4 linked regions of the Notamacropus eugenii genome follow. The protein of the gene in region 3 interacts with the protein of the main gene of each other region in a pairwise test. Links are inferred from orthologs where the notes say so. Each region holds a gene or a part of one and is shown on either strand. Other genes may lie near its edges.

Region 1 (7,822 bases), on a different chromosome or scaffold from region 3:
CTCAATAGTCCCACTCCTAAGTGGTGTGGAAAGATCCTGCATGGACTTTAGTGGTGTGGCTAAGACTAAACTCTGTTTGTGGCAGAAATTGTTTGGCATTGTCTCCTGTTATGGTTTAGACTTAGGCTGAGTTGGATCCTCACTGCCTTCAGGGGTGGGGAACCTGCAGTCTCAAGGCCACATGTGACTCCCTAGGTCCTCAAGTGCAGCCCTTTGACTGAATTAAAACTTAACAGACCAAATCCCCTAATATATAAGGATTTGTTCCGTAAAACTTGGACTCAGTCAAAAGGCCTCACTGAAAGACCTAGAAGGCCACATGTGACCTCTAGTTCCACAAGTTCCCCAACCTTGTACAATTAAACGATGCTCCCAAACCTGTCCTGCTGCAGCTAGGGTTCTGAGGCTGCCCTGTGCTGGTCACTGGCCTTTCTCCCTGTAGAGTGTAGGACTGCAGTTTTAGAATTCTACTGAGGATGTTTTGAGAATCTGGGCTTCTCTAGGTCCTAATAAAAGGCCATCTTCCTATAATTCTCCCAGTAATCTCCCCTCCTAATTTATGAGAATGAACTTCAGAAATGCATTTTGCTATTTCATATTTTAAATAGTAAAAAATAGTGTCTTATTGAGTAGTTACTGATTCATAGTGCACAATCTATGCTAACAAAATCAAAATGGAAAAAGTCTGCTTTTAAGTCGTATTTCAAGTTGCAAGTTGTCAAAGTTCTTATTTTTCAAAAAGTGAGCATAATGCTGCCCTCTGCTGTACAGTACTGACACAATAGTATTTTTTAATCACAAATTTATCTAATATAATTTAAAGCCAACCTACACCATAAGAATAAACTCTATTTCATGCAACAATGTATATGTTGTTGACAAAAACGTAAATACCCCTAGAGAAATTTTCATTTCAATAATTATTGAGTACTTTACCTTGCAAAGAATTGCACTAAGCAGTCTTCCAGGTAGCTGGTGAATAATCAGTTTAACAATTCAATCATTTTAACCACTTGGACATGGAAGGAAGGAAAAACATAAGGGCAACGGGGGCCCAAGGAAGAGAAGAGGTGGAGCAGAGTTTATAAAGGAAAGCATCACCATCCCTTCAGTCACCTAGGATTACAAACTCTGCACCATCCTTAATTCTTTCCTCTCTGTTGAACCTCCCAATTCCAATCAGTTATCAAGACTTACTGCTTCTATCTTTACAATATTTCCTTCCTCTCTACTCTCATTGAAACTACCCTTGTCACCTTCTACCTGAACCACTGAAGTAGCCTCCTGACTGGATTCCCAGATATCAGTCTCTCCTCCCTTCACCCCTACCCTCACCTTCACACACACCCCACCCAGTCCACCCACCCCCTGCATCCATCTTGCATACAGTTGCCAAAATAACCTTCCTTAAAAACCAAGTCTGACAGTATCATTGGCCTGCTCTAGAGCTGTGAGGTACTCCCTACTGCTTCCAAGATAACCTATAAACTCTGGGCCATCTCTGGCTGTCCTGATGAATGCCATGCCACTGGACCCAGATGGCTAAGGAGAAGAAAGTGAGATTGGTGACCTTGCACAGCCCTCCCTCACTCAAATCAAAGTCTACTGAAAGTCATGTCATGAGGTCACAATCCTCTTCAGGAACAAAGGACAAACACAACAACAACAATAAATTCCTCACCTTGCAATATAAAGCCCTTCATTTTTGAATTCTGATTTAGCTTCCCAGGGTTTAAAGCACATTAGTCCCATTCACACAGTCTACGTTTCAGCCTTTTCCCAAAATGGGCATTCTATCTCTGCTTTCTGTATTTTCACATTGGCTATCTTCTCTACCCAGAATGCACTCCTTCCTTACCTCTACCTCTTCAAAACCCTGGTTTCCTTCAAGGCTCAGCTGATATTCAGAAGACTTATAGAACCTCCTAGTTGTTAGTACTTTTTCCTTCTTACTCCAATTAATGTATGTTTTTACCTGTTTACATATTACATCCTGACAGTATATTGTCAGCAGAAGCTCAGAAGGAGCAGCATGGTTCCCATTTTTCAAAAATTATCTCCAGTGCCTAGCAGAGTGTCTTATACAGAGAAGGCACTTAGTAAATATTTGATTGGATTGGTTGGTTTGGAAGCTGGGAGGTAACAACACAAATTGACTGGAAGGTAACAAATACAAAAGACGATACAAACTACTCTCGCCAAGGACTATAGCAATAAGGACCATATGCTACCACAAACTGATTGTTGCTGATGTCTAAATTAAAATATCGGAATGATTTTTAAAATTTATTTTAGTTTTCAACATTCACTTTCATAAGTTTTAAATTTTTTCCGCACCCCTTCCCCAAGATGGCATGCAATATGATATGGCTGTACACATACATTCCTATTAAACACATTTTCGTATGTCATGTTGCATAGAAAAATTATAAAGAATGGGTACATGAGAAAGAAAAAACAAAACAAAAAAAATAAAATGGTCTGCTTCGTTCTGCATTCCAGCTCCATAATTCTTCCTCTGGATGATAATGGCATTACCACCATGAATCCTTTGAAATTGTTTTAGGTCCCTGCATTTCTAAGTCTATCAAAATCAGTCACTGCACACTGTCAAAATGATTTTGAAAGGTTTCAAACCTCATTTTCCTCCATTTCATCCCAGTATTTCTAATCTAGCTTTGTCAGGTCCCAATCTCTTCATCTCAGCAAAATCTTCTCCTGTTCACTCTCCCTTGCTAAGAAGAAACAGAGAAACGCGCGCGCACGCGCACGCGCACGCGCGCACGCACGCACGCACGCACACACACACACACGCACACGCGCACACACGCACACACACACACACGCACACACGCACACACGCACACACACACACGCACACACGCACACACGCACACACACACACACACACACACACACCCCTTTTATCCTCACAGCCTTATTATCAGTACATTGTCCAGTTAAATCTTTGGAACTTTGGAATTTTACCTTAATGACTCAGTTGATGTTAGGAATAAGGGAGAGTAGGGTGATAGAAATAAAGGTAAATACTTGGTAAGACTTCTAAATGGTGATTTATATGACCTAGAGAAGTCATTCAATTGTAGCATAGCCCTCCCTACCTTTTCTCCCAGTTACACCTAAATTTAAGGTAAACTTTATGTTAGTATCCATTCATTTCCACAGCAAATAGGCTTCCTGATACTTCCCTCTTTTGAGAAGATATTCTGACTCAAAACAAAGCCATTTAATAGCTTTGGAAAATAATGAGAAAAACTTCCCCATATACAACAGGCACACTCTTTCACAGATTCCCATACCGTTGATGGGAGAGGGAACAAAGTGGTCTGACCAACTCAGAATCCTAAGATTGTGCCCCAGATGAATTATGCCCTAGACCTCCAAAACTCCCAACTGTTTTCACCAAAAAACTTCACCAACGCGCTGATGATGTCATCTACTAGGCTGTTTTACTGAATAGAGCTTGCCATCTGCTACTTCTCCACTGCCGGGGGCCTCTTTTCCACAGAGGAATGGTTAAAGCTCTTTTGCGAATCATCTCATAATTTCAGTGCTATTTGAGTTCTTTTGTGAGTCCATACTCAGCTAGAATAGCAAGACTCTCTTAAGTCAAATATATATTTTTCTGATTACTACAATTCCTCCTAAGTCAAAACTCTCCCATCTCTTCCACAAAGTTTCCCCATTGACTATGAGTTCCTTGAGAGTAAAAACTGCTGGGTTTTGCCTCTCTTTTTATCCCCAGAGTGTTTGGCATATAGTGGCACTTAATAAACGTTCACGGATCTCTAATTTTCAATCTTTTCTTTGTAGGATTACAAAAGAAACCAGTTCTATTGCAAGTTATACAATTTTTTAAGTTCATGAACCCCAGGTTATGAACCCCCAAGGGGATTCAACACTGAGATGCCATCCAATAAATATTTTCCCCAAAGGCAAATTCTAACTTCGTGCCTGTATTTGCCTGCCCTTTCAGATAACGAGAAACGTTCAGAAACATGTGCTCCTTCCACAGAAAGAACTTGAGATGAAATATTTCCCAACCAATTTCTAACGGAAGAGGCATCTTTTTTCCTGTCTGGTTACAATCCAGGTTTATAGCAAGGTGTCCAACAGACACTGAGTTAAGCAGCTGGAATGTGCCAGGCACTAAATCAAGAACAAAAAACTAGGCCCCGCCTCAAGGGGCTCCCTTCCTCTGGTCTGGCCGGCTGTCAGTCCGTCATTCAAAGCATCAGGAAAGTGACGTCATGACTTGCAAGTGAATTGGATTTAAGTGAGGAAGTCTCGTAGTCACGGAGAGCTGACGTTATTAGGTTCAACTTAAATGTGCATCTGGGATCTTGGGCCAAATAAAAGGGAGATTCCTATTCCTGACTGAGATGACGCAGTCGGAAGGCACGGCAGGGAATCCACAGAAACGGGAAGCAAAGAGACTGATAGGACGGGCGGAAGAAAACTCCGTAGATCGCACTGCGCATGCTTCAATCACGTATGCGTCTCGCCTTGGCTCCTCTGATTGGTTGAGCGTCTCCCCTTCTCTCCAATCCTCTTCTTCCTTTCTCTCCCACCCTCTGTGAGCAGAAGTCGTGTCCGGCAGGCTGTTAGCTTCCCCTAACTGTCGCGTCTACCTGCGGACAGGTGAGCAGGGTGCGAGGGTCAGCCCTGGGGAGAAAGGCGAACCGCAGGAAGCCTCCCCTTGGACGCTAACGAGGCAGTGGGGAAGGGAGCTCGGGGACGGTTACGGCCCCGCCTTTTCCTAGCAGAGGTGGGGGTTGGGGGGGGAAGAGGGGAAGGGCGCAGCCGCAGTCCAGGCTTCTCGCGCCTCCCCCCCGTCCTGTGACCTCTCCGGTCACCCCCAGCCTTGGCTTGGCGCGGGGGACGGGCGTTGCATTCTGCCCCTCCTCCCGTTTCCGGTGTCCCGCTGCCTCGGGCTGGAGATTGCTTTAGTTTCCACGGACTCCTAGATGTAGACTTAGAAGGGATCTTAAAAGCCCCTGAATCCGCCCCTCGTTTTACTGGTGAGGATGCTAAGTTTAAAATTCGATATTCAAAAATATTTAATTCTTGTGGAATTGTTTATTCCATTTTATTCAAGTTTTTAATTTCCCACACTTTTGTCTGAGTTTCAGCAACTAGAAAGGAATTTTTCTCTTTTAACTCTTTTTGAAGGTGGGGGGGGATTTTAAATTTGAGATTTTATTGTATTCCAGCGAGGGAACCCCCACCTTGACATGCAGCTTGTAGAGTGAGCGGGCATGCTGCTGTTACTAAGAACAAAGGCAGATCTGTTTTCCAGACATGTTGGACCTGTACAGTGTTGCCAATACCATGCTATGAAGTGTGAGAGATAAGAAAAGGAGTTTTTAGTCAGTTTCTCGTACCTCCTCAACGCATGTGTGAAGTCAGGTTAAAATCAATACTGGGGACAAAAGTTACAATAAAGGTCATATCAAAGGTTTGTCTACAAGGGGTAGAGCCTTTTTTCTGGGGATGGTGGGAGATGGGGAATATAAGTGGAATTTTTTTTAGATTATCATTCAACACATTTTTTAAGCATTTCTCTATGTCAGATGCTAGGCTGATCTCTGGGGAAGTCACAAAAAAGCCGAACAAACCGGTCCCTACTCTCAGATTTTTTTTTTAAAGCCTCAACTGAGTTTCATACTCTTAAGGGTGGGAAGTGAGCTAAAAAATAGGAAGTGTAGTTTAGTGAGCCAGGATTGACTGTGTTATCTTCATCCATATGTTACCAGAAACATTTTCATTGAATACAGTTCTCAATGATTTTATACCACCCGTCCTCATTCCATTTTCTGAGATTAAGCAAACTTGCAATCTAGTTAAAGATTACATTTCTCAAAACAAAGTGAAGTGTTAAGGTAATTAAGTGACAGGCAGGATTATGAAGATCATCCTTTGTAGGTCCCCCAGCATTGTTGCCCCTAGACTTTGAGGGGAGCCTTTCACCAATAGGTATTTCCATCATTGACAGCTTGTCATATGAGGATGCAGCTGTGAAAATACATATGATTGGTTATTTAGATATATTTGGAGCTAGTTACATCACAGTGTACTTACAAGTAACTTTTACTATCTGCTTCCTAGAATTACTCCAAATTGTAACCATGTTCATTACTGTTCAATTGAAATAGGAACCCCCTTGAAAGAACTTTTTAGTTCTTTAGTTTACAAAGTAAAACTTGCTCTGTAACTAGGAAGAAATATAAAGTCTAGAATGCAGAAAAAACATTTCTGTTATCAGTTAAGTGTGGAAAAACCTCATAGGAAATGGATAAAAAACTCTTGCTAAAAAATAAAACTGCAGACCTTGTCCCATACAAAGAAATCTCTGTCAATTCTCATTACAGGATGGTAGTTTTTGGGGATTTTTTGCGCGACAAAATTCTGAAGAGACACTTTCCCTGAAAGGCCAGTTGTCCACAGTATAATTCGAAGACTTACCATGTAACCATAAATGCTGAGGAACTAGAAAATGCAGACAAAGTATGATAATGCTGTCATTACCTTTGTTGCCACCGCCTGAGGACAGGAAAGATGATATAAGCTTACCCACTATGTATAGACAGGTAATTACAGATTTATAGCATGCTTAGCAGTATATAGCTTTCTCCAGTTAGTATGGAGTTCCCTAATACTAGAGAGCTATGCTTAGGTTCCTGAGTCCATTTTATTTATTAAAAAAATGATAATTTTTGTTTTGACACAGCAGACACTTTTCAACCAAAGCAGAGCTTCTCTCTCCACTAATCAACAAGAATTAAGCAATTGTTATTCATGGAACATAGAAACAAAAGTAAAACATCAGCTCCTGTCCTCAAGAAGCTTACCAGAGAGGCAATGTACATACAAGAATATACAGAGTATATGCAAAATGAATACAGGGTCATTTTGATAGGGAGTAAACTCTCAGAGAGGCTTCATATGAGCTGGAGCTGAAAAGTAATCAAGATTATGAGAGGCAGAATTTAAAAGAGAAAGAAAGCATCCCAGACCTCTAAAGCAGCCCATGTAAAGACTTGGAGACAGGAAATGCAGTTATATGTGTGTGAAATACCAAATAGGCTAGAATGGCTGGATCATAGAGAACATTGAAGGTAATAATATGTAAAAAGACTGGAAAGGTATAAAGGGACCAGGTTATGAAGATAGGTCAAACAGGAATTTATGTTTGATCTTAAATCTCTAGAATTTTTGTAGTAGAGTATTTTGTAGTAGAGAGTTTTTGGGAAATCAACAAAACTATCTAATGGCTTGATTGTTATTGATAATACAAGCCTGCTGTTTTTCTGATTAACAGGAAGGAAGGGTGTGTACTTTAACTTTGATAGTGTGGTGCCAGTCTGGGTGGTTTTATTTGCCTGGACTTTGGTTACCATTTAGGGCTTGTCATTATTTACTTTGTTGTAGTCATTGTGTGTATTGTTCTTTTAGCTCTATTTTCTTTATTCTGTTTCACTTCATAAAAATCTGCCTATGTTTCTTTTAATTCTTCATAATCATTCTGTAAGACAAATTCCATTATATTCACAAACTATAATTGTTCAGCTGTTGGATTCCTCCTCCCTTCACCCCCCCTCCCCATTGGGCACATGTTTCATTTGTAGGCTTTTTGTGTTCACAAATAACATTGTTAAAAATATTTGTGTACAAACGAGCACTATCTCACAGTCATTAACCTAGGATATAATCCCAATAGAATCTCTATGTCAGTTAATATGAACAATTTTGTAATTTTCCTATATAAGTCCAAATTGTTTTCCAGAATAGTTGGACTGAT
Region 2 (8,266 bases), on a different chromosome or scaffold from region 3:
ATTAAATGAAGGAAGAGGAGAAAGGAATGATGGAGGAGGATGATTATGAAGGGCTCGTGATGAAGAGGTCTGTTGAGTGTAAGGAGGAAATGAATCTTGAAAAATTGAAGACAAATGATGGGATGTCATCAAGAGCTCCAAATATCTGTGTTGGGAATATGGAGCCTAGAGTTGGAATGCTGAAGGAAGAGCAGAGTGGTTCTTTGTCTAGCCCTGTCTTCTCAGCCCTCTAACTGCCCCTTCCCAGACACCCTTGTACTCATTTGATGTCCCCAATCTCCTGATTCTCATTTTGCCTTCATCCCCAAATTTTCCAGCTGATCCCTTTTCCCAAGATGATTTTTCAGATCCATCTTCACCCATTTCCAGGCTCCTGTTCGCCTTCCTGTTTTCCCTCAAATTTTCTTCCCTGATCCTTGAATCTCTCTTAGATCTCCTACATCTTTATAACCTTGTGTGGAGGGTAAAAATTGATTGCCCTTTTGACATAATTAATAAAGAAACCACCATACTTCTAAAAGGTAAAGGCAATAACTTGAGATAATAATTCGCTTTTTTGAAATACAGTTTTTCATTCTGGCCTTTACTTAATTGCCTGTTTTCCGAAAAGCCCAGTTGTGCATAAGCTCTTCCATTCTTACTCATTTTCTCTCAACAGTGGTAGAGAGTACAGAATAAATATTTAGAGGTAAGCTCCCTCTTACTTTAAATTAACATAGACAATACCTATACAACATTGGGCTGTAATAATTACTGTTTTGTTATAAAGCAGATATAAATATTATCAAACTAAAAACATTTTTTAGATGAAGAGAGCTCAGCAAGAAAACAGTGAGATGTCATAATAGGAAGCATATTAAAAAAATATGTGACCCTTGACTGTAGTCACTTTTTACTAATGATACTGAAGCAATTATAAAAGTCCATTCTGTTCCCAGCTCCTACAGACTTCTCTGTTGCCTCCTCTCCTACAGACTTTGGTATCTGTGTGGGAGAAGAGGAAGATTTCTAAGGAATATTCTCTGTGCTGTTTTAACTGTCCCATTCCACTCCCTTCAGATCTGGAGATTGGATCAAAATGATCTGGTGAAAACCATAAGAAAGTAACAGGAAAACCGAGTAATTCTATTACACCTAATTTTCTCTTATAGCTCTAACTGTGAGGGAACATGTGCTTGAAGACAATTAACCAATAATAAGAAAGGTAGCACAGCAGTGGAAATGTCTGGAGTCAGAGGTTCTGGGTTCAAATCTCAGTTCTGTCAGCAACCTGACTGATTGTGGGCAACATCACTGATTTCAGTTTGTTCACCTGTAAAAATGATGTGGTTGGACTCGATGGCTTTTGAGGCTCCTTGCAGCTCTACAACCTATGATTCTGTTTACTGAGTTATTTTTCAGTCACCTCCAACTCTCTGTGACTCCATTTGAGATTTTCCTGGCAAAGATACTGGAGTGGTTTGCCATTTTCTTCTCCAGCTCACTTTTTACAGATAAGGTAACTGAGGCAAACAAGCTTAACTGTCCATGGTCACACAATTAGTAGGTGTCTGAGGCTGGATTTGAACTCATGAAGATGACTCCTGACTCCTGATCAGGTACTCTATCCACTGTGCCATCTAGCTGCCCTTGATTCTATGATAAGTACCTGCTTATAGGTACTGAGTGAGGTTCTGGGGATACCAAGATAAAAAGAGGCTATAATGGAAAGAAGACTGACTCTGGTTTTAGAAGGCTTAGGTCCAAATCCTACCTCTGATGCTTACTAAGTTTTCTCATATGCAAAAATTAAGAGTTTGGATTAGAATAGCTGAAAATCTATGTCTGTATGTCCCTAGGCAAGTAACATAACCTCCATGGGCCTTAGATCTCTTATGTGTAAAATGAGGGACTTGAAGTAGATATTGTCTGAGATCTTGTACAGTTCTACATGATAAGTCAGAATCCTTCACCTCAGGAAGCCATTTCTGATAACTTTCCAGACCAGGATGACATGAGCCAATTAGTGTTACCACAGGACATTATTTTCATTGCTATTACTAGCCAAAACCATGCCTTCTAATTAAAGGGATGCTCCATCCTTACTTTGCCTCCTCTTTAAACTACTACTGCCTTTTCACCCTTCATAACTCTTGGGTTTTTGTTGTTTTTCACTCATTTCAGTCATATTCAACTCTTTGTGACCCCCTTTGGAGTTTTCTTGGCAAAGATACTGGAATGGTTTGTCATTTTCTTATCTTGCTGATTTTACAGATGAGGAAACTGAGGCAAATACAGTTCAATTACTTCCCCAGGGTCACACAGCTAGTAAGTGTCTGAGGTTGGATTTGGACTCAGGTCTTCCTGACTCCCGGTTTGGTGCTATATCCACTGTGCCACCTAGCTGCCCTAAAGTTTATTTAGGGTAGGTTTATTTAAATTTATTGAACTTGAATCTATTAAGCATTATCAAGTTAGATGCACACTTTAACAGTAACCTGGCTCTCTCAAAAGGACTCTCTCCTCTACTAAGTATTCTACCCATGCATATATAAACATCTTTTCTGCAATTTAAAACTTAAAGAGCTTTCTGGACCTTGGAAGGCTTTGCACAGGGTCACAGAGCTAGTATGTATCAGAGGCAAGACTTGAACACAGGTTTTCTGACTGAAAGTCCATTTCTCCAGATATAACATAATACTGCCTCTCTTTCAATAAAAAATAATAAAATAATTGATTTTAAAATAAATGTTTGACATAAAAATGCAAGTATCTAAAATTAATTTGCCTTTATGTCAGAGGATAATGATCCCCCCCCCCCTTTTTTCAAGACATTAGCCTGTTATGGATAACAGGTTTGATAATTTGATAAATATACTTAATGTTCAATAACAATGATAAGCTTGGATGAAAGTGACTTTATTTACCTCTAAAATCTTAAGGCTGAACATTTTGTGAACTGTACATTTAGAAAAATTAAACCTCCCTAAAGCTCCTTTCTGAAAACAGTGTCAAACAAAAGAAGCCAGACTACTTGATGGCATTGTTAGCATTTTCTCACTGGAAAAAAAAATCAAAGTCTAAAGACACTGTCTAAGTAGCTGAAGGGTTTTTTCCCTTGGAACTCAGTGCAAACCGTTACTACATACCTCATTGTTTTCAAGCAGAGACAGATGTTTAAATAATCCTGGACTCCAGCAGTTTCAAGTTTTAAAACATAGCATTCCCTCTCTAGTTTATAACAATTAGATGCTCACTTTTAGGTTTCCAGAAATAAAACATACCTTTTTTTGCAGGGAGGAAATCCTTTGAAAGTTCTGTCAGTCCATTGGTAAATCTAGCAGTGAAAAACAAGTGGAATGTATAGCTATGAGAACAGGAAAAAAAAAAATTTCCAGCTCTGTGAATTTCACTCCTTTAGGAGACACCAAAGCGGGAACAACAATTCAGCACAGCAACACTAAAGGCTCTTTGAATTCTTCACTACTTTTACAGAGTGAAAAAAAAACAAAACAACAGTTCAGCTCAGCGTCAGACCAGCAGCTGGGACTGGTGTGACGTCAGTTATGGGGAGGATGGCCTTAGAGACACCTCTTCCAACCCCAGCTCTGTAACTTTAGATCTGTTCATATTTTGTGTAAACAACTTTAGGTCCAGGACATTTTTAGCTTTATAGTGTAGCCCAGCATTTTCAAGCACGCCAAAAGAACTGATGTTAATATCAAACGGATGACAATGGCCCATTTTAGATCCTTTTTGTTAGGGAAATTTAACTCTTGTTTTCAAGATCTTGATTTTTTTTTTAACTACATGCAATCTCAATGTATATATGTCAATGTCTCCTGAAGTTGTGTGGCTAGGTTCTGGTACACCAAATCAGGCATTCTCTACTTACTTGGTGGATTTCAAAGGCAGGGTATGTGGGGTGGGGGGAAAGGGGAGAGAAGGGGCATATTGTTCTTTCCAACTCTACAGTGCTCATACTCTAGGATTAAAAACCTAGCCATTTCTAATTTTTTTATATGAAGTACCACTTGGAAAATATGTTTCTTCTCAGATGATATACGACATGTTTCTCTTCATACTTCCCTATGCCATTCTCCAAGCTAGTAATTCTTTTTTTTTTTAATGCTACTACTATATACTGCTTTAAGGTTTACAAAACACTTTACCTATATTATCATAGTTAATCCTTACCATAATTCTGTGAGGTTTCATGTCAAGAGACTGAGGTTCATAGAAATTGTCACCTGTACCAAGTCATACAGCTCAGAAAAGTCTACGGTGGAATTTGAATTTAGGTTTTCCTAACTCCAAGTCTTGTGCACTCTCTAATACACCAAGCTGCCTCTTGAAGCATTTATAGCTCTTTCTGTCCATGTCTGTATTGTGTGAAGGAGCAATGCAGCAAGAAGGGCTGCTAGGTGGCACAGTGTATTACAGTGCAGTCCTGGAGTCAGGAAGACTCATCTTCATGGGTTCCAATCCAGCCTCAGACACTTACTAGCTGTGTGACCCTGGGCAATTCACTTAACCCTGTTTGCCTCAGTTTCCTCATCTGTAAAATGAGCTGGAGAAGGAAATGGCAAACCATTCCAGTATCTTTGCCAAGAAAATCCTAAATGGGGTCATGAAGAGTTGGACATGATTGAACAGCAAAAAAATGCATTCCTTACTGTCATAATAAGATTGACCCTGTTAAATGTTTGCTCCATTTTGATAAACTCTTCAGCAGATTTCTAGCTCAAATTTGTCAATAAAGCAAACTTTACATATCTTGTCAACTGAGACCAGAACGTAAGCAGCATAAGACACAGTGTAGAAAGCATACAAGTGATTGCAAATATTTTTTAAGTGCCAGCAGTGGGCAGTATTGATGTACTTACAGAATGCTGGACTTGGATTCAGAAGGAAATAGTTTTGAATTCCTCTTCAGATAGCTGCATGCCCTTGGGCAAATCAGTTTCATAATCTGTAACACTTGTATAATAAGAACTCTGATGTGTTAGGGTTGTAAGGATCAGATGAACTAGACTATATGTAAAGTACTACGTGAATATAGTTACTATTGATTTTACTATTGTTACCATTAGGTGCCCTTTACCTTCCTAAGATTTTTTTGGCACAACACTTTTGCTCCTTTCTCTCTGTCTCTGTCTCTCTCTGTTGTCTCTCTCTCTGTTGTCTCTCTCTCTCTGTCTCTCTACACACACACACACACACACACACACACATAGTTATACATAGTTACGTGTGTGTGTATGTATGCATTAATAGATTTGAGTAATAAAAGCTGTGAATGCTTTTTATATCGTAGATATATGTATGTAATTGGTCTATGTTTGGAAGGGTCACTAGAGTTCTCATCTTTTGGTTATAAATATGTGATGCCTTCTGTTAAGTAAATGTACCAAAGAGAATACTGGTAAAGTATTATTATTGTGACTGTTGTTACTGCTGCTGCTGCTACTACTGCTACTATCACTACCACTACTACTACTACTACCACTACTACTACTGCTGCTGCTGCTGCTGCTGCTATTACTATGGTAATGACAACTACTACTACCGCTACCACCTATGTTCAAGCTCTACCTCTTATACATATTGACCGTATGACCTATGCAAGTCATTTATCTTCTTAGTGCTCTATACAACCTTTTAAGATAATCAGTTGCAGAAAAAGTACCGACCTGCACTGGAATATCACCGAAATCCCAGGGTTGGTCTTATCTAACAATAAACACAACAACAGTATAGCGTGGTGGATCTGGATTGAAAAGACTTTGGGTTTAGATCAAGGCAGACTTAAGCAATCCACTCTTACTTCCCTGGGCCTTAATTTCTTCTATAAAATGGGAGGATTGGATTGGATGACCTCTAAAGTGCTTTCAGCTCTAAATCTATGATTTTTTGTAGTTTTATTTGTTCCCACTCATGTAGATTGGGCCAAAGAAAGTACCTTTTTTAACTGGTTACCCAGAAATGAGGAAGAAAATTCTATTGATGCTTAAAGATTAAGCTATAAGAATCTAAGTCTTCGTTGGCCCTGTTTTTGATACATTTCCTGTAACAGAAGTTAAAAGAGTCCTGTAAAAAGATACATCTCCAGTAATCTCCATGGTTTTGTCTGTTTATAGATGAGCATTACTTCCACGAGAAATAACTGGAATAGAGGTCGTGGTGGGAAAGACTTTATGTAGACAGCAAGAAGATATTGGAGGTATATAATCACTAGTGAACATGCCTACTGTTCAGTGCTCTGCCCTTGGTCTTCTCTTCTCTCCTACCCTCAGTTATCTCATCCACTATCATAAATTTAATGCTCACCTATGTAAAGGACTCTTCTAAAATTTCTGTTGCTAGTTCCACTTTTTGTCCTGAGTTCCAATCTCCATTTCCAATTGTCTACTGGACATCCCCATGTAAATCCTAAAATATGTCCCAAAATGAACTCATTGTTTCTGGATACCATTTTTTCCTTTAACATTTCTATTTCTGGTGATGACATCACCATTCTGCTCACCACCCAGATCTAAAACCTAACCATCAGTTTTGACTAATCCACATGCACGTCCAATCCATTGTCAAGCCCTCTGATTTCTACCTTTGACATATTTCCCCCTTTTTACCCATCTCAATACTTTCTGAATATCTACAATGATTCTCCTAACTGGCTTTCTTACCTCCAATCTCTTTTTCAAGCCATCCTTCCCACGGCTACCATGGTAGTCTTCTTAATTCATTGACTTGCTCACTCCATTCCCTAGCTTAAAAAATCATCAGTTGTTTTCTATTGGTTGCTGAATAAAATAAAAACTCAAATTGGCCTTCAAAGCTGTCCACAATCTGGCTCTGGACTATCCTTGCAGATATTTTATGGTCCTCTATTCCACACAGCCTGCACTCTGGCCTAAGCCAACTTCTTGTTAATCATTAATTTTTCTTGAGCTTTCATAAATTTTCACACACTTGGATAGGACCCTCCTCCCCAAGATAACACTGATTGAAATCCTTTTTGTCTTTTGAGATCCAACTTAGGTACCAAGTTCTCTATGAATGTTTCTCAAATTTCACCAGTTAAAAGACAAAATCCCTCCCCAAATCTCTAATGGTACCATGATTCATATCTCTTAAGAATGGAATCTTTTTCTAAATAGTATTATATTATTTTTTCTGTATCTAATAAAAAACAGCTAGCATTTATACAGTATTTTAAAGTTGGCAAAGCACTTTATATATTATCTTATTTGACAAAATATTTCATTTGATATCCCCTACTAGACAGTTTGATTTTGACAGCAAGGATTATGTCATCTTTATCTTTGTATCTTCAATACCTAGCAGAAGGTTTTATACAATCAGCCAGACAATTAACATCTATTGATCACCTGTTATGTTCTAGATACTGTGTTAAGCCCTGGAAGTTCAAAGCCAGGCAAAACTAAACAAAACAAAAAACAGTCCTTGATCTAAAAGAGCTCACAGCCTAACAGGGAACACAACATGCAAACGTTATCTATTAGGCTAATAATTCTTTATTGAATTGAATTAAATTGAGGGCAATTTAAACCAAGGTAACTGATAACATTATGTTCACTCACACTTGGCCTCTGGGGTTTGCTGTATTATTTGTATATCAAACTTAATAAAGGTTGTTTTCTAAATCCTTCCAGCTTTGGTTATGTTGCATAAGAGGTGATTCATAACAGTAAACCTCAAGGAGGAATTCTTTCCTTTTCCCTTTTAAAACAAGTTTCAATGAATAATTAACATAGGTGCTTTGTGTCAAGGCAAGAGACTCAGCAACTATGTTTAGATAGCATCAGTGGCTCTGATTGGATCTTGACAGGTCCGCTAGTCCAGCTCTAGGATGCCATGAGCAAGGTCATATCTAAACCATCCCAGACAGATGACAGTTAGTTCTATTTTAAAAAATCTCTAAAGAAATAGATTCCACAGTGTCTATTACCTGCTCACTCCAATGTTTAACAACCCTTGCTACTGGAAAATCCCTCCTTATATATGTTATGGTCCTTGTGCTACCATTTACACATGAAGAGCAAAAAAGGAGCCAGTTGAAGTGACAAGACTCATGAGGCAAATAGTTTCTCGGTGTATCTTTAAATCCTTTCAGGAAAAATAAGAACAACATCTTAAGATGAGTACTTGGAGTTCTTACAGCAATATAAATAAAATGGAAGATGTTCTTCTGAAGCAGGGATCACACAATATAATACTCCATAATAATATTCTGATCTTTCCATTGCTATTTAACATTTTAAAG
Region 3 (8,384 bases):
GATCATGCTTTCCCTCACTACTATCAGAGACCTGGTGCAAAGCTCTAGTTAATTTAGCCTTGTTATAGCTCTGATCTTTTACGAGACATGACTCTGGGGCTCAGTCTTTTCAACTGTAAAGAATGGGGAAGAATAATACTTACACTGCCTACTTCACAGGACTTGTGTAGGGAAAGTATTTTGTAGACTTTAAAACTATATAAATGCCAGTTGTTAATTATCTGTAAAATAAGAGGGTTAGACTAGGTCAGAGGTGTCAAATATGTGGCCCGTTAACACTACCAGATGCAGCCCCAACCAGATAAAAATGTGATTAGGAATATTTAACAAATAAGTAAAAAATGCAGCAAAACATAGATAACATTACATTTTAAAACTAAGTTAAGGGATCTTTATGTATGCATTGACACCCCTGGACTAGATCTCCAAAGTATCTTCCAGTGTTGAGTTCTGTAACCCTATTATCTGGTCTGGGCACTTGTCTTCATATACATAAATGACTAGCCATTCTGAACTTTCGAGTTTTTTGTTTCTGTTAGGGGAAAAGGGGAAGCATGTTGATTTTTTTATTATTGTCAAAAAGTGGGATGCTCTAATAGGCTAGAAATTTTTGAGAAAGTAGCCAAAGGTCTCTGGATGGAAATCAAGGCATCGTTTGAAGAGAAGAAGATGCTCAAATGCCTTCCTCTCAGTTCAGAGGAAGATGCCTCCATTTCTTTCTCCCCTCCAGACCGTACAGGCTGACCCCATTCCTGTTTTCCTGGAATCTGGTGGTAGCTGGGTTTTGGTACAGTGTGATTCTGTACTACAGAGTGACAGCATTCAGGGTGCTTTAAGCCACTCTAGGTGCTGACTCACATTGCTGGAACATGACACCCCTGGAAGACTGATGATTTTTCTAAGCTAGATCATTCTCCCATTTTCTTTTTCTTGCCCTTTTGGTAAATCATTATGCTTAGAGGGGTTGCTTTTATTTGTACACCTGACCAAAACTCGTATCTTTTAGTTTTCCCTCTCTTGATAAAAATAATATCTGGTAATTTGTTTTTGTGTGGTCCTGTGATTTAATCCTCATAGGGAAATTCCCTTCACTGATTCAGACCAATTCATGGGGGGACCTTTTAAAGAGTTAGCTGGGGCACTGAGAAAATGTACTCATGGTTACACAGCTAATAACAGAGGCAAGATTGGAGCTTGGGTCTTCCTGGTTTTGTCGATTCTGATAAACTACCTTATAATTGTTTTTGTTTTAAGTTTCACCTTCCTGTGAGGTTAGTGGGGTAGGTATTTTGTTATTCTTGGTCTTCTTTCACCTTGAACCGTCCCCTTCCAATCTTCAAGCCTGCCTTTCATTTGCAAGCGGCTGGGATGTGGGGAAACCCAGGAAGCTACAGACAATTCACAACTAAAGTTAACTCCTCTATATACATATACAGGACATTCCCATTGTTGACCTGAAAACTTGGTTAAAGAAAAGGCAACAGGCTAAATGCATACATTTTATGATTTAATTAATTAATCAGTTCCCCATAAAGAAAACAGTTACATAGCGCTATGGAGTCAGAGGTGACTGACTACCTAGTACAGAAATCATCTGTCTTAAGTACATTTTGTCGTGAGAAAGAAACTCTCCTAATTAAGCAAATCATAAATTGAGTAAGACGGGACAATTAACAAAGCAATGTCAGTCAGGCCTTGGGATTCCAGGCTGGGTAAGCATATGTCTCAGTGATAAGAAAAGAAATCCCACCACTAGTAAGTGGCAGGCTTCCTGCCCTAAACAGATAACTGACACAGGAAGGGGCAAACAATGTTCAATAGAAACCCAGGATGCCTATATTTTCTTTACCATTAATATGCCATAACATAGTATGTGTCTATAGATAATAAGATATAAAGGGAAGTCCCATTATTTAAGATAGTATCTTAGGTTAAAGGTCTCCCAAGGAATGCAGTCAGCTTTGGCTGGCTTTTGCTGACATAGGAAGAGGCATTCTCTGAGTTTGCTTCAGAGAGAACAAAGAGATTATTCCAAAATTTTATATTAAATATTATCACCATGTATCTCATTAATACCCGATGATGGCCCACCAGCAAAAATTCCAAGGGCTAAAGATTCCAAGGACAATTCTTCCAAGAAGCTAGTTCAAAGAAACAGACTGGGTAGCAGTTAGGTGAGAGGTAAAATTATCTTAGGGTGGGACCAGGTGAAAAAGTCTTATATCATGACATAGCTTCCACTTCTCTCTCCCGGAACACCATATCTACTTTCTTTCATGTTAGCAGGAAAATGTCTAGGAGGAGGAGTTTAGTTTAACTGGATTAACTAGGCATTAATAATGGGCCTTTGGCTCCCACCCTTCCTGTTTGAGATATGCACTGTCCAGGCAGATACCCAGCAGTTGATAGACATTCATGATGCATATTTGTCCCTCCCAAATTCCATCATTCACCATTGCTGCATAAAGAAACACCATATTTGGAGATTTTTGCCTCACATTTTTCTGTTCTCCCCCCCATTCCCCCGAATTCCTAGAAAATCAAGTATTTAGTGAGTCCCTACTATGCACCAGATAACTATGTTAGGTACTAGGGAATACAAGAATGAAATACCCACTCTCAAGGAACTTATAATGGGGGAGAAAACAAATAACTAAAAATACAGCATAATTACTGGTTCTTCCAAAAATATACCTTGCATAAGGTGAATAAATGCAAATCTATAGAAAGTAGTTAAATTCAAGTTAGTTTAGCTGGGGAGGGAATTGAGGGGATTAGGAAAGGCTTCCAAATCCTAGGACAATGGAGTTGTAAATTATGTTGACTCACCTAGGAGCAGAGAGGTCACATATGCTTTTAAAAGTAGTCTGCCAAGGCAGGCAACATGTTGCAGTGGGAAGGGTGAAGCTGGACTTTTGCCCTAGTATAGAAAATGTGGAGACTAAGAAAGTTAGCAGATTGAGAGAAAATTAACTTCTGTTGCATAGGAGATGGGATCTCAAAAGCTAGCCAAGCGATGGTGAAGTAGTTTGGGTTACAGGGACAGAAGACTGAAGTTTCTTTGTTCTATCCCTGTCTCCTGTCCCTTAAAAAAAAAAAAATTCCCTCCATCTTTACCCTGTCCTCTCTCCAAGGCTTCACCTTTCTTACAAGGGGACCAGACCAACTTCTACCTCCTCCCTCCCCAATCAAGGTTGAGTAAAGAGCCTGGTTTGTTTCCTTTAGGTTATGTGAGAAGGAACCTCCCCAACACTTAATCTAGTGGAATACAAAGAGCATGGACCTTCAGATCTCATAGGCTGAACTGGATGACCTCTGGGGTCCCTTGCAGCTTTGAAATTCTTGTCTTCTAAGCCACTGAAGCAACAAATTCACCCTCCCACTCAACTGAGTTTCTGTTATTTCTGATATTTCTACATCATTACAAAGTTAATTTTAGGGCACATTCCATATCCCTTGCCCCAGACAGTGTTTGCCGCATGAACTAAAATTCCCAGATATGGCTCTGGGGAAGAATACAAATTTTGGAATCAAAAGACATGTGTTTGAATCCTGACTTGGTTCTGAATCCTGATACCACTACCACTGCTACTACCTACTGCTTAATTCCTGTGTGACCTTGGGCAAGTCACTTTAAACCTGTTTGGACCTCAGTTTCCTCATTCAGCAAAAGAGGACTAGGTGACTTCTAGGCACCTTCTAAATCTATAGTCCTAGGATTCTAACTTCCCTGCCTGGTGGAACAGGGAAGATATGGCTGCTGGCAGCTTAGGGGCAAAGTCCAGAGGAGGAATTCTGTCTTTGGGGAAAGAATGTATGTCAGCTGTCAGTTTGGTGGCCACCTGTGGCTCAGATATCAAGAGGTGGTAAGGGCATAACCGCAGTCACCCATGTTCTGGTAAAATCAGCCTGCGGGCCATCTTTCGCACCTAATAGGCTGCTAACCTCAGAGTCTGCCTTTGCTTATGGTGTTGGCAGGTTTATTGATAATGCAAAAACGCACCACCTTCTGGTTAAACTGGTGCTAACAAGGCCATGGCCAGGGGTTTCATTGTTGTATGGCTTTGTTCTCTTTTTCCCTGGCCACTCCTTAACCAGAGCTGTTAACTAGAAATTCTTTTACCTGGGGCAAAACTAATTCAGGGAGTTGTGTGGGGTGGGGGAGGAATGCCAAATGTAGTGTCAGTAAACAGGATGGTCTGACCAGGGGAACTGGGGGTGACAGTGACAGGGGAACTGGGGGTGACAGTGACAGCTCAGGCAACAGTTTGCCCGTCAGAGCAGTTGCATTGGGAGAGGAGAAGACCTGTTCACCAAGAAATACTATCTATGCCCACTTTGGGATGGGCCCCAGACAAGGAATATTCTGGTGACAGAACCTGGTAAGGAAGCAGGATTGCACAAGCTAGCAGAGGACTTTGAGATGTGAAGTAGTGGGGTAAAGGTCCTGAAGGAGGAGGGAGAAGGTGAGGATCCCCTCCCAATCACAAAATGTAGGTGCTGAAGTAAAGCCCTGGTTATCTTACCCTAGTTAGAGTTACTGTTTACAAAAGGGACAGGTGCACCTTTCCTTCCTCTAAAGAAACATTTTAATGCCTAAATCCTGCAGACAGTAGCACAGATGGCTGGTTATTCTTATTAATACATGCTCTAAGTACAAGGCAGGACACTCACCTTGCATGGAGGGGTGGAGGGAAGTGCCAAGCCAGGATACAGTGTTTCTCTGTGGCTCTCCATCCCCCTGAACCATGGTAAACACCTGAGGAGCCCAGAGGTGCTGACAATGCAAAATGGTTCCCCAAAGGGTGCTGAGATACCACATACCTCAAGTTCTCCTCAAAAATAGATTACTTCTCCTTTTCCAAACTCCGCCCTCTGCCTCTCTCCCTCCCAGAACTCTGATGGACCAGTCAGAAGAAGAAATACCAGCAAAAAATGTCTTGACTGGAACCCCATCAGGAAGTACCTCATAGCAGAGGTTTTCCCAGCTGACTCCACCTTCCCTCAGATTATTGCGTAGCCAGTAGGGTTTCCTATCAAGGTCGGAGGACCAAGGAAATGGGCTGACTAGCACATTGAAGGCTAAATTATAGCCAAGCTGGAAGCTCCAAGAACAAACTGAGAGGTAAGAAGGCTTTGTTATCCTAAGGGGGAGTATGGGGAAGTGTGTAAGTGAGGGAAGTGGGGGAGGGGAGGAAGTGGAGGAGGGATAGTTGGCCAGAAGGAATTAATTTAAAGCAAGGGAAGGTCATTAACCTCTCGCTGAGTAGTCTAATAGGACAGATGCACAATTAGGGACAGGCAGTTTGACACAGTGGAAAGAGTACTGTGTCTGGAGCCAGAGGAATGGAGTTCAAATCCTATTTCTGAAACTTTCTACCTGTGTGACCTTGGCCATGTCACTTAACCTCCTTGGTCCTCCGTTTCCTCATATGTAATATGAGGTTGGACTAGATGACTTCTGAGGTCCCTTCTGGCTCTAAGGCTCTCTCTAGGATCCTATGATAGGGGGTTTCACGTACCCCGGGAGCCAGTCAAGCCAGTCGCTACCAGGCAGGACCAGAATCTTCTGTGTTTATTTCCTCTCACACCTGATTAGAATGCTGGATTTCAGATGTTTCATATCTACTTGGTACCTTGAATCAAATTAAATGTCACAAAGTTGGGTGTGGTGCACTTGGATTTTGGTCCAACAAGAAGACAAAAAGAGTTAGAGTGTTCCCTGTGCCAGTTTCCCGTTGAGTGTAAGAATCAGCTCTCATTTTGACGGAAGTCCCATATGAAAAGGAAGGATAGGAGAAAGTTGAGAAACTAAGATGAAAGGTCATTTGCAAATTCAGTCAGCCAAGGCAGCTTGGAAAGGATTTCAAGGGTAACCTGGATAATTTGAGTCAAAAATTTGCTCTGATCAAAACCAGCAGAGGTTAGGCACTGTGCTAAGCACTGGGGATACAAAAAGAGGCAAAAAGCAGTCCCTGCTCCGAGGGAGCTTACAAGCTAATGAAAGTCTCTGTCTCCCTTGTTTTGTCCTTCCAATCGCTTGTGTGCCTGCTGAGGGGAGGGATAGCCTTTGCAAAGTTTCTCCTCCTGCCTCACTCAGCTGGTAAGGATCTTCAGCTTTTCTGGTCAGTGGAGAGGAATTTACAGAGCTTGTAAGAGTAACAGACATAGTATTCTAAAAACTAGGATGAATTACGAAAACAATCTCACTCCTAGAAAACTGCTCATGAAACTCACCTCCATCCTCTCAGGTAGAGGGGCGAGGGACTGTGGGTGAGGGAAGTGATAATGCCACTAGATGGGACACTTTGTTAGCTCTGCTGAAATGTTGGGGTTATTGGTTGGGGATGTGGAGGGAGGACAGATTAAAGGAAAATAATTGTGGTATAAAAACAAAAGGTAACAATAAAACTTTAAAAAAAATTAGTGTACACAAAACTGCCCACAACGGCTGCAAAGTGTGCCACTATATGATCTTTTCAAACCCCTGTTTCCAGGGGGTTTGGAGTAAGTCATTAAGTTAGTATTTTCACTGAGTTTATAAAGGTAAAGTTCAGAACAGGAAAATATCCTGAGAACTATAGATTATTAGAGTCTGTAGTTAGACAGATTAAATAGAGTCTTGAGATAATCCAGCCAACCACTTTATTTTATAGATGAGGAAACCACGCCTCTGTAAGTTTACATGTCTTGGCCATAGCTCTTCAGTGGCAGAACCAGGACATGAGCCCAGGTCTTATGGAGGCCATGTGTAGTTTCCCTTCTAATGCACTATGGTATCTCTTTAAGAGACCAGTAAGGTGGATATGCCATGTGCTTCTAAAGTCTTTTTTTTTTTTTTTAGAGAAACTAGGCTAGCTCTATAAGAAAGCAGACTAGGGGAAATGAGTGTCTGAATAGCTATATTTAATACTAATACAGCACTCTTGCTTTCTGCTGAAGGCCCAGGCTTAATGACCTGGCTTCTCAGGTGACAGGGATCATAAAAAGGAATATTTCATCACTCCATAGCCAGGCAACGAGAAAGGAAAAATGCAATGGAAAAGAATTAAAGGAAATGAGTCTGTTGTAAATCAGAGAGCAGAGATAGCTGTGTCACTGCCTCACTCATAAGGAAGTAGCCTTGTGCAGCTAATTTCCTTTATTAGCTGTAAATAGTGGGAAGGTTACTTTCAAAATGTGGAAGGCTCCCCAGTGCCCACAGGGACAATTGAGGGACAGAAATCAAGTGGGCCAAGTATTTATTAATGCGCCCATCACATGCCCAATGCTTAAAATTTTGTTGGGAACACATTTAAAGTAAATGGAATGGTGCAGAACAGATTGTGTGGCAGATAATTCTTGCCAAGGTCAATGAGGCTGGAGAAGGCTTCTTTGCTTAGACCTCACACAGTACTTCCTCAATACTAAATCATGGCAGATTGTGTTTTCTAATCATGTGTTTGTGTCATCCCCCAACTGGAGATGTCCCTACTGGACTGTGAACTCCATAGGCTCAGGGATGTATCTCCCCCAACACCTAACAAAGTGTCCCAGATACACACAAAGCTGTAGCAGGTAAGACTAATGGTCACTGGTATAGGAAAGGATGTTTTCTCCCCATAGGGAGACATCCATCTTCCCCTTGGGAGGGAAGGTTGTCTCTTGACTGCCAGTGATTTCCTAAAGAGCCTTCTAAGGACTACCCCAGGAAAGAAACCCATCTTGTTTGGATGTGGCTACCTTGAAAGAAGAAATAAATCCACCCGTCCAAATCCCAAACTCCTCCCCAAGAGACCTGTTGCTTTCATGTTCTTCTTCCAGTTCATTCCCTCTCCCCCTACCAAGCTGGTACCATTATACCCTGCTGAGGCATATAACTCCCAAACCACCTGGCCTGGGGGACCAGCATCAGTGGTAGAACAAGTAGTAATGATGTCTTGTGTTGTCCAATCAATTAATTAATAAACATTTATTATGCACTATTGTGTGCCAGGCACTGTGCTAGGCACAGAGGAAACAAAAGAAGCAAGAGACAGTCCCTGCTCTCAAGGAGCTTATGATCCAATGGGAGTCTCTATCTTCCTTGCATTGTCCCCAATCTTTCCAATAAAGTTTTCCCTAGATATTGGAATTCCCAGGTATAGTTTATGCCTATTCTTTTTTTTAATTGAATTGCATGAGTTGGAATGTAAGTTGACTAATTGGTAGTCTAGACTGAGCAAAGGGAAATTGGAGTGGGCATTCCAGGCAGCAAGCCCTTCTGACATTCGGAAGGCATCTGTCTTTGTATCTTCTACAGCCACAGGTGCATCTAGGATAACCACCCCTGACCTCACTGTGCAGGTAGCTCTTGCTGAGTCTTCAGGCATACGTGATGGGACACATTCTGGCTTAAACAAAGA
Region 4 (7,777 bases), about 150 Mb from region 3:
TTGTGTTGTACATACTCCTATATGGACATGTAAGCTCCTCGAGGGTAAAGAATTTTATCTCTGCAACCCCAGAGTGTAGCATAGCATATGGCAGGTGCTTACACTCTTGTTGACTGACTGAGAACAGAAGGGGTGGATTTGGGAGCTTAAAGGGGAGAAGCAGCTTTGGAGATCGATAGGAATAACGGTTAATTAGAGTAGAGTAAAAGACCTGCTGCTCAGAAATTGCCTATTTCTTGATTTCCGTCAAAAGCTTGGAGATGGGGGAGAAGGTAGACCCTCCTTTCTTCCTAATTTCCTTAGCTCTGTTAAGGGTACGGTCATCCTTTCTGTTACCCTGGTTTGAAACCTGTAGTCAATCTTGATTTGTCCTTACTCTGCCTCTTTCTATTTGTTGATAGGTGTTAGTCAATTATTTTTCCAAAGCAGCCCTCACATTGCTCCTTTTCTCTCCACTCACACTGCTGCTGTCCTAGGTCACAATTTCATTGCCTTCTGGCCTTCCTGTTTCAAGTCTTTTCCCTCTCCAATCTCATCCTTCATACAGTTGCCAAAGGGATTCACAGGCTGTCCCTTCATGCCCCAAGTGCCCTGCCCTCAAACCAAGTTTCTTTTGGAAATATCTGTATGTACTTCCTATGTATTATATATCTCTTTCAGTGTGTACATATGTATCCTACTATAGTATTTAAGCTCCTTAGGGACAGACTGTTTTGTCTTTGTATCCCCAGTGCCCAGCACTGTGTCTAGCACATAGTAGGCATGTAGGAATAACAGATTTCTGACCACTCTCTACATCTGTAAAATGGTGGGGTTAGTCTCAGAGGATCATTTCAGTACTAGTTCCATGTTCCTGTGATAGTCAACATGTTTGCTGAATTCAGCTGTCACCCTGCTAACTCCTCTACTCTCTTTAGTGTTTCTTCTCCAGGTATACACTACCCACTGGCTGGCTACAGTCTACTCCAAGCCCCCATATCACCCTTTTAGTTTTTAGAAGGGCTATAACCTGAGAGGTCATCTAGTCCAGCATCACTATACAAGTGAGGAAACAGAGGCCTAGACAGTTTAAAAGAAATACCCAAGGTCACACAGCTACTTAGAGGTAGAAATGGCATTTGAATTCAGGTCTTCTGGCTCCCCTACCCAGGGTTTTTGCTTCTATACCACATTGTGTCCCTAAACCACTTGTGGTGCCCTCTTAACTCAGTTAAGTTAAATTTGTATATTGCAAATTCTAAAAAACTTAGATTAAAATTAAGCAAACTGAACCGAAATAACTATACCTCATAGGGTCATAAGGACCAAACCTTCAAGTGAGACCTATTTATTATTAACTGCCTTCAGATTTAAATTTTCTAAACTTTTGGTTTTTGGTAGCTGAGAAGCTTCAGACATATGGCATGAATGCATTCTAAGCTGTGAGTGGAGATCTATACAAGTAGACTGATGGCTTTTAGCTGGAAGTTTTAGATGGACACCTGTTCAGTAGTGTATGTGAAAGAAATAAAGGGAAGTATATTCATCATCCAGTAGATAGGTGTTCTGGACACATAAAGATACTGAAACCTAAGCACAGTGCAGCAGAAAAGGCCCTAGCTCTGTAATGAGAAGACTTGGGTTCAAATCCTGCCTCCAGTGATTACTATCTGTGGGACCTTGGGCAAGTCTTTTCACCTCGATGAATTTCGATTTCTTCATCTGGAACATAATAACAGGGGGCCTCTCCACATTTTTCTGCCAAATGAGTTCCTAGATGGGTTCTGAAATAGAGGGGGAAAGCAAGGGGCAAATGCTGCCTTCCCCCCAGAACCCATGGTGGCCAGGGTGGGCTTATCCCCTTGCTGCCATCCTGATGTATTGGTCCAAGATGCACACAGGCTGCTGGCCTACTCAAATGGTTTGGGTGACATGGAGGTCACCAACTACCGTTTCCAGTGAAAGGAGACGTCCAGCAGGCCTTACCACCCACCCTGTTACTACATCCTGTCTGTCATCTGACCTAACCACATAACCTTGGAACCCTTGGGTCTTGTTGTCTGCCCCTCACCTCAAATCCGTTTAGGGATTTGGTCTTTGCCATCTGCCCTGCAGCTGAACTTTCAACACGATCACATCATCTCCCCTAATTAGAGTAGGAGATCCCTGAGAGCAGAGACTGTCTAGCCTTTTCTGCACATCTCCGAAGGGCTTAGCACAGGGCTTGGCTCACAGTTAACACTTAGCATTTTTTCATCCATCCATCTGTGGACCTCTAGATCCCTTCCCAATTCTAGATCTACGATTCTGTAATCTTTTTGACCAAAAACAAAATCTTAGGCACACAAGTGTGAGAAGAAGAAAATGACATATCACTAATTAATTCAATGATTCCTTGTTCATTTTTCCATCTGTTTTTTAGATTGAACTCTTGGTATTTTCCACAATACAATATCCAACTTGTCTTCCTCTGCATTTTTTTTTTTTTGCTAAATAAGACCCTACTATCAGTAAGCCTCATATAATACATTAACTTACATAACTCTCATTAGACAGCAGACTAGAGGCATGGTCAGAGTTGTTATTTTTCTACAGGCTTTCAATTATGAGGGCACATCAAACCTCAAGTATGAAAGTGGTGCAGCAGAAACAATTGTTCCAATACATCAGAGAAGTACTGAAGTCAAATAAAATAGTAATTTGTACTCCCTAAAATAAAATCAAGGCACTGCATCTAAATATACAAGAATTGTTTTTTAAAGCCGTTAGGTACTGCTTGTCAGTCAACAAGCACTTATTAAGCGCTTACTATATGCCAGGCACTATGCAAAGCTCGGAGATTAAAAGAGGAGTCCCTGCCTTCAAAGTACTCACATTCCAATGCTGGGGCAATATACACTTATCAGACATCGATGGTACAGATAAAGGCAAAAGTAGCTCCTGCCCTCAAAGAGCCCCCAGCCTAAAGGGGGAATTAACAACTATATCTGTACAAGATACCTCTGGCGTAAATAAATGGGAGGGGGGAGGGGTAATCTCAGAGAGAGGAAAGGCTTCTTGCCCAAGGCGAGCTTTGAGCTGAGACTTTTAGAAAGCCAGAAGACGAAGATAAGGAGAGGGAGAGCAGTTTAGGCATGGGGGAGGGCACAGGCAGTGCAAAAGCACGGAGTCGGGAGATGGCATGCTGGGATCCTTAGGCCACCTTCCTCCTCCCACTGAGAAGCATTTCGGGAGAAGGAAGGAGGATGACGCGGTCCGGCCGAAGGCCAGGGTCAGGGCCGGGGGTCTGCGCAGGGTCTCCGCCCCAGCCCCTACCCGGGGCCCCCTACCTCCCCCTCCTCCGCCGCCGTTTCCTCCGGGGTCCCGCCGGCGCGCTCCCGCTCGTAGAAGTCGACGCGTGGCGACCTGGAGCGCGGCTGCAGTGGGGCCTGGAAACCGAAGGAGGCGAGCGCTGGAGCTCGCCGGGGAGCTGCCATGGCTCCCGGACGTCGGCGCTTGCCGGCCCAGGTTGGGGCAGAGCGAACTCTGGGCCGGCAGGGGGCGGCTCCTCGCAGGGGGCGGGGCCGTTACCGGGACGCTGTCACCCGGGACGCCGCACGCCGCGCTACGGGAGCCCTCGAGGGACCTAAGGCCTCGCCTCGAAGCCCAGCGCAGGGAACCAGGGCTCCCTAGGGACAACTGCGAGCTCGTGGGGGCCTGCCCCCTCCCACCCCGCTTTTTTTAACCGTTGGCTCAAGAGTGTCCCTCCCCTCCCCTCCCGCCTCCAGGTCTCAGCGTAGTTGCCGGGGGATTAAGGACATGACGACTCGTGCGGATAGCCCATTAGAGGGCGCCACACAGCGTTCCTCGAATTGGTCTCCTTTGGGAAAGAAAACGCGCGCGCGCTCGATTCGGCAGGCTGCGCGCCCCCGCGGGAAGATGGTGGCCGCCTCAACCGACAGGGCTGCCGGGTGGGCGGGCGAAAGAAAAGGTATTGCTCCTGAGGATTGGCCAGCGGGAGCCAAAGAAAGGACCAACCGGGGAGCGACAGCTCTTTGTCCCTCCTTCTTTCGCCCGGCAAGGCCAATGGCAGCCCCAGGTTGTGCCGCACTTTGTCCGCTTTTAGAGAGAGGGACTGCGGGTTTCGTTTAGGAGGCCTCCTTTTACGGCGAGGCTTGTGCATAATGTATCCCTTTAGCGGCAATGTGGGGGCTCAGCCTGGGTAGCCAAGGCCAGGAAATCCTCCGGGCCTTTACCGCAGCGCTGGAAGATGCGGCCTTCTGCCCGCAGTGCGGGGCCGAACCCGGGCCCCGGATGTTGGGCGCAGCCAGCCCAGCCCTCCGGGGCCCCGTCGTCCTCGGCGCCGCCTTCCCTCATCCATTGGTGCCCCACCCGCCTGGCAGCCCCGATGAACTCATATTGGCTCTTCAGGAACGTGTAGGCCTGTGTCGGTTCTGATCCGTGTTCAGACTCGGCCTCAGAGGCCCGCTAGCTGTGTGACCCTGCCCGTCATTTAATGGCCTTTTGCCTCAGTTTCCTTATCTGTAAAATGAGGGTAATAATTACACATCTAACGACTTTGAAGACCAAACGAAAAGGATGAGCACAGGGACTGGCACACAGTAGATGCCAGTGCCAAGCGCTTGCTGACTCTTAAAATTGCTGTTATTACCGGGCAATAGCAAGTCCAACCTTCCTACGACAGAGGCGCTGTTGGAATCCGAGGGAGCGCCTGGAGAACAGAGCAAGAGCAAGGTGGCTGCTGATTAGGACCTTTGGGCCATGCTGGAGGTCCAGGAACGGCCGGTCAACCTAATCAGTCAATAATACATCACGTGGTACAAGCATCCCCAGCACTGATCTTCTAAACTGTTTCCCAGGGTTAGGCTTTTCACCCAAAAACGAGGCACTGGCTGATAACCAGATAGCAATACATGGGTGGGAAGCCAGGGATCAGAACTTGTGGAAAGTGATTTGAGGGCCAGGGTACATTCCTATGTATAAGACTATGCAGGAACAACTCTAGGGACAAGAGGCTGTGGTGGAAATCTGAAAAAGGAAACTTTATAACTCTTACAAGTTTAAATTTTTAAAAGAAAAATTGTATATAACTAGTTAAACTTACTTTGTAACCATAATCTCAATACATAAAATGTAACATTTTAGTCTAAATTAGGATTCTTTGTCCATTCTCATTCTTTTTTTGCTCTTAGATGGTCAGTGTGTACTGATCATCTGGTTCTTTTGTTACCTTTGTCAAGTTTTAAGATTAATACAAAGTTTTTTTAAACAAATAACCTATGTAGTTCAGGGATTCTTTGTTCTTCAAAAGTCTCAAAATCAGACTTCTGTGTGATCCAATTGTTTAACTGCCAAAATTTTGAAGTGCAACAGTCTCAAGTCTGTGTGGTTACTAGGCCTGCAGATGTTTGCTGACCAATTAAGGCAAATAAATGTGAAGGTATCATGGATGTTTTTCAAAGAATACCCAGATTTCCACTCTGCTTTGATAACCATATTAAAATGGTTTCTAGGACCCTTTATGTCCTCCACTTTACCCTCTTCTTTTGTAAGTTCTGCAAAGACCCTACCAACTGGCTGGAGACCAGTACATCTGTTCTTGGGCCACTGCTCCCTTGTGGTTTTACATGTATTGTCTCACTCGTTAGGATGTAAGCTCTTAATAGGCTGAGATTTTTCTATTTGTATACCCAAGCAATTAGCACTGCGTATAAGCACTTAATAAATGCTCTATCATTCCTTAATGAGAATGTGGGAATAGGACAAATGAGGCTTAGTACTATAGAAGTGCATAAGCTTGAAGTCAGTGCCTCAAGCCAAGATTTACTTAGCAGTTTGGCAATCATATTTTGGTAGAAGACCGTCTTATCAACAGAGCTTTGGGTTTTTTAAAATACTCAATGTATCAGGTAAGTTGAAGTACTGTGGGATGTTTTGCAAAGGTAATTTCATATAATCCAGCATCCTTAGGAACACCAAAAGCTTCAAAAGAAAATGGAGACCAATGGTCTTTTGAGGCGCGATGCCTTCCACATCCAGAGAAAGAACTACGGAATTCAACCGCAGCATGCAGATCATTTTCTTTTGTATTATGTTTTGGTTTGTTTTGTGATTTCTCCCATTCATTTTGGTTCTTCTATGCAACATGGCTATGGTGAGGATGTGTTTGATAGGAATGTATGGGTAGAACCTATGTAGGATTGTATGCTGTCTCAGGGAGGTGGGGAGGAGGGAGTGAAAAAAAAATCTGGATTTTATCGTAGTGATTGTAGAACAATGAAAAGAAAAAAATGGAGGTAAAAAAAGTAACAAATTGTGAACTTCATCAATCACACTGTTGATGTTTTTGCTCATGTGTGCCACACAGCTACTTGGTAGGATCAGAGCTCTAGCCTTTCTCTTATCCCAAAGTATAACTGGTAAATATGAAAGGTTACTTACTCCTTTAAATATTCCCATTTATGTTAAAATATACTTGCAGCTTGAAATAAGTTCTAAAAAAACAAGTTTTTGATGTTTCAGGGTCTTTTCTCTTCCACACAAACACTACAAATGATTTATACTGATTACATGAACTATGTGAATGTAAAGTGTAGGATAATGAAAGGTTTAATTTCACCATCCAATTTGACTAAATGTTATGTTATAGGTGGCTTAATACAAGATGACAAATTACTGCAAGGGTAACCATTTTATACTCCTAAACAACTAAAAGAATAAACAAAATAATGATTTAATCTAGTAAAGATTTAATAAAGGCTTTATATCAGAGAAATCACATTTTTTATTTGCCTTGTACATTCTTACCTTTTAAGAATTTTACTTACTCAAAAACTTTTCTACATTCTCACATACAGAGTACATTCCAGAAAGCATTTGAGACATAAGCATTGTAACTTTAGCTAACTGTGTACTCAAGACAAGTACTTAAAATTGTGGGGTCCCCTCCTAAAATAGCATGGCATGCCTGGGATAGTAGAGATTTATTTTCTATGAGCTTTTCATGCTAGATACAAGCACCTTACGTTTGGAAAATCAATACTAAATAATTGTTAACCATAAAAACACAACAAAAGTAGACAATTTAAGCCAAGGGGAAAAATCACACTAATTGAGATAGCTGAATCAATAATACGAATACAGGTTATGTAGTACCTAATTCAGATGGATAACAATATTTTTGCCCTCTAGCCCTGTAGTCCCACTCTCCCACGGGTGAGTTCTTCTTAGAAACTACATTTTGAGAAAGGAACTCAGCCATCCTTCATTCACTGGCCTTCACCAAAATAGCCCCCCTTCAAGGTTTCCAATAGAACTTTTTGGCTCCCTTGTCCTGGTTCTCTTACATTCCAAATGTAAGGTAAGGACTTAAAGGTAAGGACTATCTTTTTGCTTGTATATTCACCCCCAGTGCTTAACACAGTGGCTAGCACACAACAAGCCCTTAAATGCTTACTGACTTGACTTTTTTGCTAACTGGAAAACAAAATCCTCAAACAATCTGCCCATCTATTTATAGTCACCTCTGATCATTCTTTAAACTTATATAATTTTTCTTTAAATTCGAGGCAAAAAGATCACTTGTAGCGCTGAGGAAAAAAATGAGTGGAATTCAATGGCACACTCAACAAACAGGTACAGCCGTTTTTATTTTTCATAGAACTTTTGGAAATTCCAGGAATAACAACAAAATCTGCTTTCTTGAAACCAAATATTTACTATTTTTATTAGATTGTATTGACAATTTTCAGATGGATGACAACTGGAAGCCCAGGTGTAAGAACTCAGAAAACAAAGT

Evidence for each region.
Region 1: the proteins of CARD9 (region 3) and TCEANC interact in binary tests that used the Homo sapiens proteins (3 or more experiments, as listed by UniProt). The two-hybrid records come from large-scale screens. The link is inferred for Notamacropus eugenii from reciprocal best matches to the Homo sapiens genes CARD9 and TCEANC.
Region 2: the proteins of CARD9 (region 3) and KIAA0408 interact in a two-hybrid assay, tested with the Homo sapiens proteins (2 studies listed by BioGRID and IntAct). The two-hybrid records come from large-scale screens. The link is inferred for Notamacropus eugenii from reciprocal best matches to the Homo sapiens genes CARD9 and KIAA0408.
Region 4: the proteins of CARD9 (region 3) and FAM161A interact in binary tests that used the Homo sapiens proteins (3 or more experiments, as listed by UniProt). The two-hybrid records come from large-scale screens. The link is inferred for Notamacropus eugenii from reciprocal best matches to the Homo sapiens genes CARD9 and FAM161A.

Annotation. Positions count from the first base shown.
Region 1 is NC_092876.1:377,330,629-377,338,450, reverse strand, and holds the start of TCEANC (transcription elongation factor A N-terminal and central domain-containing protein), read left to right. Parts: upstream 1-4,225; 5' UTR 4,226-4,662; intron 4,663-4,844; exon of another isoform or gene 4,845-5,042; intron 5,043-6,392; exon of another isoform or gene 6,393-6,611; intron 6,612-7,822.
Region 2 is NC_092873.1:211,371,803-211,380,068, forward strand, and holds the start of KIAA0408 (uncharacterized protein KIAA0408 homolog), read right to left. Parts: upstream 3,536-8,266; 5' UTR 3,264-3,535; intron 1-3,263.
Region 3 is NC_092872.1:489,795,070-489,803,453, forward strand, and holds the start of CARD9 (caspase recruitment domain-containing protein 9), read left to right. Parts: upstream 1-5,022; 5' UTR 5,023-5,125; exon of another isoform or gene 5,126-5,170; intron 5,171-8,384. UniProt on the Homo sapiens protein: Adapter protein that plays a key role in innate immune response against fungi by forming signaling complexes downstream of C-type lectin receptors.
Region 4 is NC_092872.1:642,870,760-642,878,536, reverse strand, and holds the start of FAM161A (protein FAM161A), read right to left. Parts: upstream 3,534-7,777; 5' UTR 3,456-3,533; coding exon 3,309-3,455; intron 1-3,308. UniProt on the Homo sapiens protein: Involved in ciliogenesis.